2 linked regions of the Caenorhabditis elegans genome follow. The protein of the gene in region 2 interacts with the protein of the main gene of each other region in a pairwise test. Each region holds a gene or a part of one and is shown on either strand. Other genes may lie near its edges.

The links. Proteins that work in one complex are often made in the same cells at the same time.
Region 1: the proteins of dyf-2 (region 2) and bbs-9 interact in a protein complementation assay, tested with the Caenorhabditis elegans proteins (one study listed by BioGRID).

The regions. Positions count from the first base shown.
Region 1 is NC_003279.8:6,920,922-6,924,677, reverse strand, and holds the start of bbs-9 (Protein pthb1 homolog), read left to right. Parts: upstream 1-1,704; 5' UTR 1,705-1,722; coding exon 1,723-1,810; intron 1,811-2,278; coding exon 2,279-2,346; intron 2,347-2,392; coding exon 2,393-2,525; intron 2,526-2,989; coding exon 2,990-3,297; intron 3,298-3,470; coding exon 3,471-3,657; intron 3,658-3,707; coding exon 3,708-3,756. Other genes in the region: C48B6.9 (uncharacterized protein), read left to right, coding at 68-258; C48B6.10 (Small integral membrane protein 15), read left to right, coding at 1,008-1,098, 1,345-1,439. UniProt on the Caenorhabditis elegans protein: Component of the BBSome complex. The BBSome complex is thought to function as a coat complex required for sorting of specific membrane proteins to the primary cilia.
Region 2 is NC_003281.10:13,684,784-13,688,539, reverse strand, and holds the start of dyf-2 (WD repeat-containing protein dyf-2), read left to right. Parts: upstream 1-2,000; 5' UTR 2,001-2,094; coding exon 2,095-2,106; intron 2,107-2,163; coding exon 2,164-2,252; intron 2,253-2,644; coding exon 2,645-2,710; intron 2,711-2,782; coding exon 2,783-2,917; intron 2,918-3,083; coding exon 3,084-3,283; intron 3,284-3,539; coding exon 3,540-3,756. Other genes in the region: cul-2 (Cullin-2), read right to left, coding at 666-809, 861-889.

The DNA.
Region 1 (3,756 bases), on a different chromosome or scaffold from region 2:
TATAAAAATTCAAAAGAATGAATTCGCTAGAATACAAGAAACAACTCTGCAATTCTAATATTTTCAGTGCTAATGCTCACAGTCTCAATTGACCCATCGCGAAGTTTGGCCTCAAAATGTGTATCGATTACTTTAGGATCTTCCGCCGTCTTTCTTGCCACTTGCTTCGCCGTGAAAACCCTCTATTTCTGGGCAAATCATTCTTGTGGGCACGTCTACCGCGAGGATTGTTACAATTACCTAAGCACACTGGTCTGAATGTATTATTTTTATAGCTTGTTATTCTACCCACTTCTATATTGAGCTTTTTCATCACGCAAAGTTTCTCAAAATTGACACCAATGATCTGATTTATTTCATACACATAAGACTAATAATGAATTCTTATTGAAATCCTGATTAATGGATCTTTTTTAGTTCATTACTAATACAAGGCTTATGTTCATGAATTCGAGGGAAAACTAAAAGAAAACAGAACAAAAATGACGGAGCAGACATAAATCAAGATGCGGATAAATAGTAGTAACATACATAAGAGATATCTATTTTGTGTTTTGCAATATTTATAAATATTGTTTTTTTTTAATTTTAGTAAAAAAGTTTGAGAAGCAAGTGAGAAAGTATATTTTCAGAAGAGTAAAAAAAAACAAAGATTTGCAAGAGAAAAAAACGTTTTCAAAATTGTGTTCTGAATGCCTTTGGACGCGTCGCGGTGGCGCTGCGTGTTCTTCCAGCATGGCATTTTTTCCAAAGAAGAAACACGTTTGCATTTGTTCGTCGCCCATTTTTATTCGTACATTCCGTACAAATTTTATCAGTTTCTGATAGATTTAATATTGTACAATGAGAATTTCCTATTTTTATTTGGCATTTCGCAAGTTAAATCATTTAAAAACAGCTTTTTGTAGAGAAAAATACTGAAAACTACAGTATACTCAATTTTTTGTGTTCTTCAAATTAAATTTGTTTCATTTATTTTTATTATTTTCAGGTGTTAGCTAGCAAAAATGGTTGAGCTTGGAGGAAAAGGGCCATACTCGACATCGTTCGATAACTCTGTCTTCATCATCCCCGCAATCGTTATTGTAGCCGTTTTCGGTGAGTATATTAAAACTAAAAATAACAACGAATCTCGCAATAATTTACAATCTTCAATAGTCAAATCTTTTTGGTCGGGCTATTTGTTAAGACCAACATAATTTTTGAGTACTGTAGGTCTAACATGTTTTCCTTTTTTTGAAGATAGGCTAAGTTCCATTAAAAAAACATGCTTCTACCGTATTCAAATTGATAAAAACAATTCACACATCCATCAAGCAGTTGATAGAAACATAATGTTTTCAGCCTACGCCGTTATCAAGCTCCGTGACACCACTTTGGCTAAGGATAACAAAAGCACGGCTCGTCAACGCCGTGAGGAGAAGAAGAAGGCCAAGTAAATGTACAAAAACAGGACTACATCCAAAGTTCACATTCCAAAGACAACTCGACATACAATTTAACAATTTATACTTCGATTTCCATTTGGGTTTTTTTGTATTTATTTAAAAGTTTTATTTGATATTAATAACGTTTTCTAATGTAAAAATAAAATTGATGAACGGATCTTGTTTCTCCATTCTCTACACGCTGCTCCATATGGTTTCCATGACAACACGCGCACAGCAGTGAGCAGGTGAACATCGACTCTATTGCTTACTCTAGGGCACGCTTCAGTCAAAAATGTCGCTTTTTCGGCTCGTCGAATGGGTTTCACAAACAATTCCTAATACGTCAACTATATTGAACGCTTCATTTTTTCAAGATAGAGGTACTTTTTTCAAGATGTCAAGGTCTCCAGTTCGATGTCATGGTTGTGCAATTTTTTTTGTTGAAAAAAAAAACGAATCTCAATTTTGCTCCACTGAGTATATAGTTTTCGACGTTAAAATAGTAACATCAGTAGGATTTTTCCAAAATGCACTCAAAATTAATTTTTGGTCAAAAATTTGGCACATTGCCAAATTATTGAAAAGTTGGTTTTTCTTTAATTTAGAGAATTCTTAAATATTCCAAGCTTGAAAATGTTTGAATATAAATAATTAAAACAAATAGAATGATGAACTTGTGGAACATTTTTAATTTTGGTCGGTTTCCAAAATCATGATAGGTGAAAACTGACCATTCTTTTTTTGACTAAATATAAAATTTTTCAAATATTTGGAAAATTTTCACAATGATATTTGGTCATCTTATTACTATCGAAAGGCTCTAAACGATTCCCCCGTCATTATTCCAGAGCAACTTGTTATTGGAGGAGAAAACGGTCAAATTACGATCTCAGATCCAGGATTCAGGGATACCAATGTGACTTTTAAAAGTCGAAAGATTGCAAAAAATGTGGTAATTTCAGGCGCATGTACTGTGTACAACTGAAACTAAATATGCTATACTCCAAATGGCATCTGATAACTTTCTACCTTCAATGAATAATATTCTTGCCGTCTTATCACCAACAAAGTTAACCTATTACAAAGTTCATTTTGGTAAGTTATGTATCTATTCAGCTGTTATTTATCATACAGAGTGGCTCATAATTATGACAAACAGATGTGGTATCATAAAAACTGTTTTTTTGCAAACTAGGTCAACTCCAAGATATTCCTGATCCAACATTACATTAATAATTGAATACATCTTTCTAATTCGTTAATATAAAACACGTTTTGATAAATCGAACTATGAAATCTATTTTGACAGGCTCCATATTTTTGAGTCTTTTCATTTTGAAACCGATAGTTGTTGATACATGTTTATTTAACTTCAAAGAGAGATAAATACAATATTTGATTCGGATTGTCTTAATAAATACGGGTCATCCTGTAATATACAAAAAATAATAGGCTCAAGTACGAAACAAGGCTGTGCGGCTGGTAAAAAAATTCGGCTGTCGGCTGATGCCGACAGCCGACAGCCGCACAGCCCTGGTACGAAATGGTTAAAATTTCAGCAAGTCCTGATGAAACCCTCGCATCACTTGATGAGATATTCTCTCATTCTTTTTCAACATCTGCATGGAATATGTGTGTAATACCAATTGAAGAATCAACTCCACAGATATTAGTGCAATCAATTGATTGTAAATTATCTTTGTTTCAAGGAGATCAATGTGTTTTTTCAATGGTTCCATTGAGAGCTCTTCAACCAGGACCAATCGGTTACTGTCAGACTACACAAACTCTTTTTGTTGCAAATAATGGATTCTTAGCTGCTATCAAATTCAGTCTTATGTCAAGTGGATCGCAGAAAAAGATTAATGTAAGCTGTGGACTATTGAATATTTTTCGAATGTCCAATATCATCGGGAAACTAAAAAGTATTGAGTTAATTACAAATAATAAACCCAAGCTGTCGAATTTTGATAACGCTGAACATTTTTTCAAATATGCTGACTTTACACTGACAGTAAATTTGAGTCTTCTTTTTTTCAGTATGACTGGTCTTTTAATCTGGGTGATACTGCAATACAAATGAAAGTAACCGAAGGATCTAAACCAACAACCATTGTATTATGCCGCCGACACGTGTCTGCATTTAATGCAACTGGATCAGTTGTCTGGCAGATTCGTTTAGAAGCTGTTGGAATGGCAATGTGTCTTTATAGATCACTTCTGATTAGTAAGATTTCATATATTTTCAAACTTTTATTAATGTTTACTCTCAATCAGATAACACTCAATTCAATCGTTTAATAGTTTCAACATCTGACGATACATT
Region 2 (3,756 bases):
TTTTCTTTGGAAAGTACAAAAATCTTTTTTTTTTTCAAAAATTCTCATGTTTTTTTCCCAGAAATGGATTTTGTTCAAAAAATACTACCAAAATGGTTTTAAAAAGTATGTTTAAGAGGTTATAAGATCATCAATCCGATTTTGCAACAATGTTTTTTTAAATCGATTTTTCGGATAATCCTGAATTAATCGGAAAATAAGTGAATGTTAGTGTTTTGGAGCAATTTTTTACAATTCTTGGAATAATGATTGAGTTTTTCAGTGAATTATACACGTGAAATAAAAAAAAATAGTTTTGTCAAAAAATTTTCGGATTTTGTGGACAAAATCCTCGAAAAACTTTTTTTCTCTGTCAAAAATCGAATTTAGGATTGTTGCTTACAAACAACGCGATTGCTGAAAATAACTTCAAAAATTGATTTTTTAAAACATAACATTTTTACAAAATCGGATTAATAACAAAAAGGTAATTTTTGCCTTATATATAAATAGTTTTTGCACAAAAACTTTAGATATTGGCCAAAAATCAAGACATTTTTGAACAAAAAATCCCAAAAAATCTTTTTTTTCAAATTAAAAATTCGAAAAATCTGTTGAATGACAGAAATGATACTTTCTGAAATTTCTATCACTGGAAAAAATCAAACTTTTCCTTCAAAACTTACCTAAACTTGTGATGCCACTGAACATTGGTGATCGGCCGCAAATTGATGATATCAATGATAGATGGTCTCAACTGCACCCATACTTTGTCAAATTCCACAACTTTTGGCTTCAGTGAGTACATAACCTGTGGACGAGGTGGACGACTGAAAATGATGACAATTTGTGCGAAATTTTCAAAAAAAAATAACGGGTACCGTAAGGAAACTTTTGTGGAACTTGCCATTTTTACGGAAAAAGCGAAAATTTTTGAAATGCGGATTAAAAAACTAAACACGAAAATTTAATTGATAAAAAGAATCACGTGATTTTAATTATTCTTTCTTTTTTTAATTCGTTCAATTATTTAATATTCAAACCGAAAAATGAGAAACCAGGGGTCATAAACCAAATAATATCGATCGATGCGCAGCAGACGCACTCACATTTTCTTCAATATCGGCTCAACGACGGGAAAATTGTCGTCAGAAATTGCCTTACGGCGGCCAAGTGTCGTACGATTCGATGTCGGCTGTGTATTCGACGCCAGTTTTGCCTGTGGACGGTGAACCTCGGACCGGTTTCCTGTGGAGGTTACACTGAAGATTTTCGGGGATATGGTGGAGAAGCTGAAATTTGATTTTTAGAGAAGATATATTGAAAAGAGATAACAAACGTTAAAAATATATTGAACGTCATATGTTAGAAGTTGGCAATGACAATGAAAAATGTGACATGTGAGAAAAGGAGGATTTTAAAAAGGAAATCTGTTTAGAACAAAAATTAAGAATAATTTTCTGAAGTCTAAAATTTAAAATTAAATTAATATTTGAAGTTATTAAAGGTGGAGTCGTTTTGGAATTTGATTATAAAGTTTTCTCTAAAAATTTTAATATTGAAAAATTAAAAAAAAGAATACCCTTTTGGCATTTTTGTGCATTTTTTGGCTAAACTTGGAATAAATGGCCAAAAACCAAAATAAAATCGGAGCAGTGCTACAGTACTAATTAAAAAAACTACTGTAGTTTTCGCTATGAGATACTTCTCAAAATTTAGTGTACCCGTAATGCTCTCCCATTACAAATGTATTTGCCCCAGATGTGTAAATGAATAATTTTATCAAATATTTTTGTTCGATATTCACATAAAAAGATGAAATTGCGGTTTGTTTTTTTTTCTCGAGAATCCAGAAAATTCTACTAATTGTCATTATTCCCAAACCGGGAATGATCAAATCCCCTCTTCCACTTCCCCTGTTCTTTCCTCAATTTGCGTGCTCAACACACACTGTGTAGCCCGGTTACCAAGGCAACAACTCCCCAAAGGCTCGGGTAGCTCAATGATTTGTACTTCATTTTTTGTAACCATTATTTGTAGGCTCGTGACATAAGTGACAAATCATAGGGGAGCAGTGGCAAACGTCGAAAACAACGGAGATCTTCATTCATATAAATGTCATTAAAGGTAATTCCGTGTACTCTCACAAAAAATCAGGAAGTATTTAAATGTGTTTCTGCTCAGCTTCAATATCGAAGAGGCGAAGAAGAGCACGGAAGTGGACCGATTATTCATCGATGGAGACCAAATGGGCATACTGTAGCTGTTGCATGGTTTGTTTATTTTTTGTTTAATTCTTATTTTTAACAGTATCTTTTTTAAAGATTTTTCTTTAAAATATTCAAAATTCAAAAACTCCAAAAAAGACGAAAAAAATCGAGAAAGAATTTAAAGCCAACTTTTAGAAGTAGGATTTTCAATTTTGGCTAATTGTCCTGTTTGATTTTTTTTCCAAAATGGGAGCTTCATGACCAATGCGTTTGCAAAGACCTTGATTGGTTTGAAAATGGGTGGAGCCAATCGCTGATTGTTCAGATTTTTGAAAATTTGAATTTTCATCATTATTTCTCAATTTATTATTATCGGTTCTGGAATTTCTGAATTTGAAGCTTTTTAAATGCATTTTAAAGCTGAGCTTTTCCAAGCAATAAATTATACTTTTCAGCGCCAATAACACGGTCATCTATTACGATAAGAAAGGAAATGTTATTGACGCGTTGAATCCAACTGGGTGAGTTCAGAGTTTTTTGAAATGTAAAGAAAAAAGAAGATTTTCGTGATTTACACTTTTTTCAACTTCCAGAAAACTTATCGACATAGCTTGGGATAAGGAAGGTGATGTACTAGCGATTGCCGTAGCAAATACCGGGACTATTTATCTATGGGATGTGAACTCGCGGAATACAGATACTGTTGAGAGTGGAGCGACCTCTTCAAAGTGAGTTGAAAAACGGGGGCATTTTCTAAATACGGTTACAAAATATTATTTCAAAATTTTGAAACTGTGAGATTTTTTGGAGTTTTCAAAAGATTACAGATTTTTCGTTGTATTTCTACGTACTTCAGATTTAAAAAGTGATACACCAAAACTTGCTTCATTCCAGAGAGCTCCCAACATGTCTTGCATGGTCCCCAAGTACTCCTACACTGGTAATCGGCAACAACGCAGGAAATATCGTCGTCTACAATCATCGAACGTCTCGGCGGATAGCCGTGATGGGAAAACATCAACGAAGTGTCACACAGATTACAGTAACCCCGGAGGATTATGTAATTTCTTGTAGTGACGATAATACACTTTCAGGTTAGAATATTTCCGTTCAAATTATATTCGAAAATCATGTTTTGGAAAAAAATTGAAAACAGTCAACCCAGAGAAATGAATTGAATGAAAATATAGTTCCTCCGATTTACTGGGTATTATTGCAAGAGGTTTTAACTTTCCAAATAAATTTGACCTCAATTTTATATTTATTTCAAGAGAACAATATTAAGATGAAAACCAACTCTCGAAAAAACGTGGCATTAAAAATTGATACAAGTAATACCTAAATTTGTAGTAACCACACTGGAGGGCACCACAGTGAGCACAACGACGACAAACGGAGAGCCCACAAATATGGATTATGGTTCCGTGAATGGAAAAGGTGGAAGCGGTGTCACGATGGTCAGCGTGGTTATAGGGAAGAAGATTCTGATGCTCGCGCATTACAATGCTCTCGACGAACCCGTGAATCTTCAGTTTCAGGAGAAATATGGAAATATTCACTCCTATAG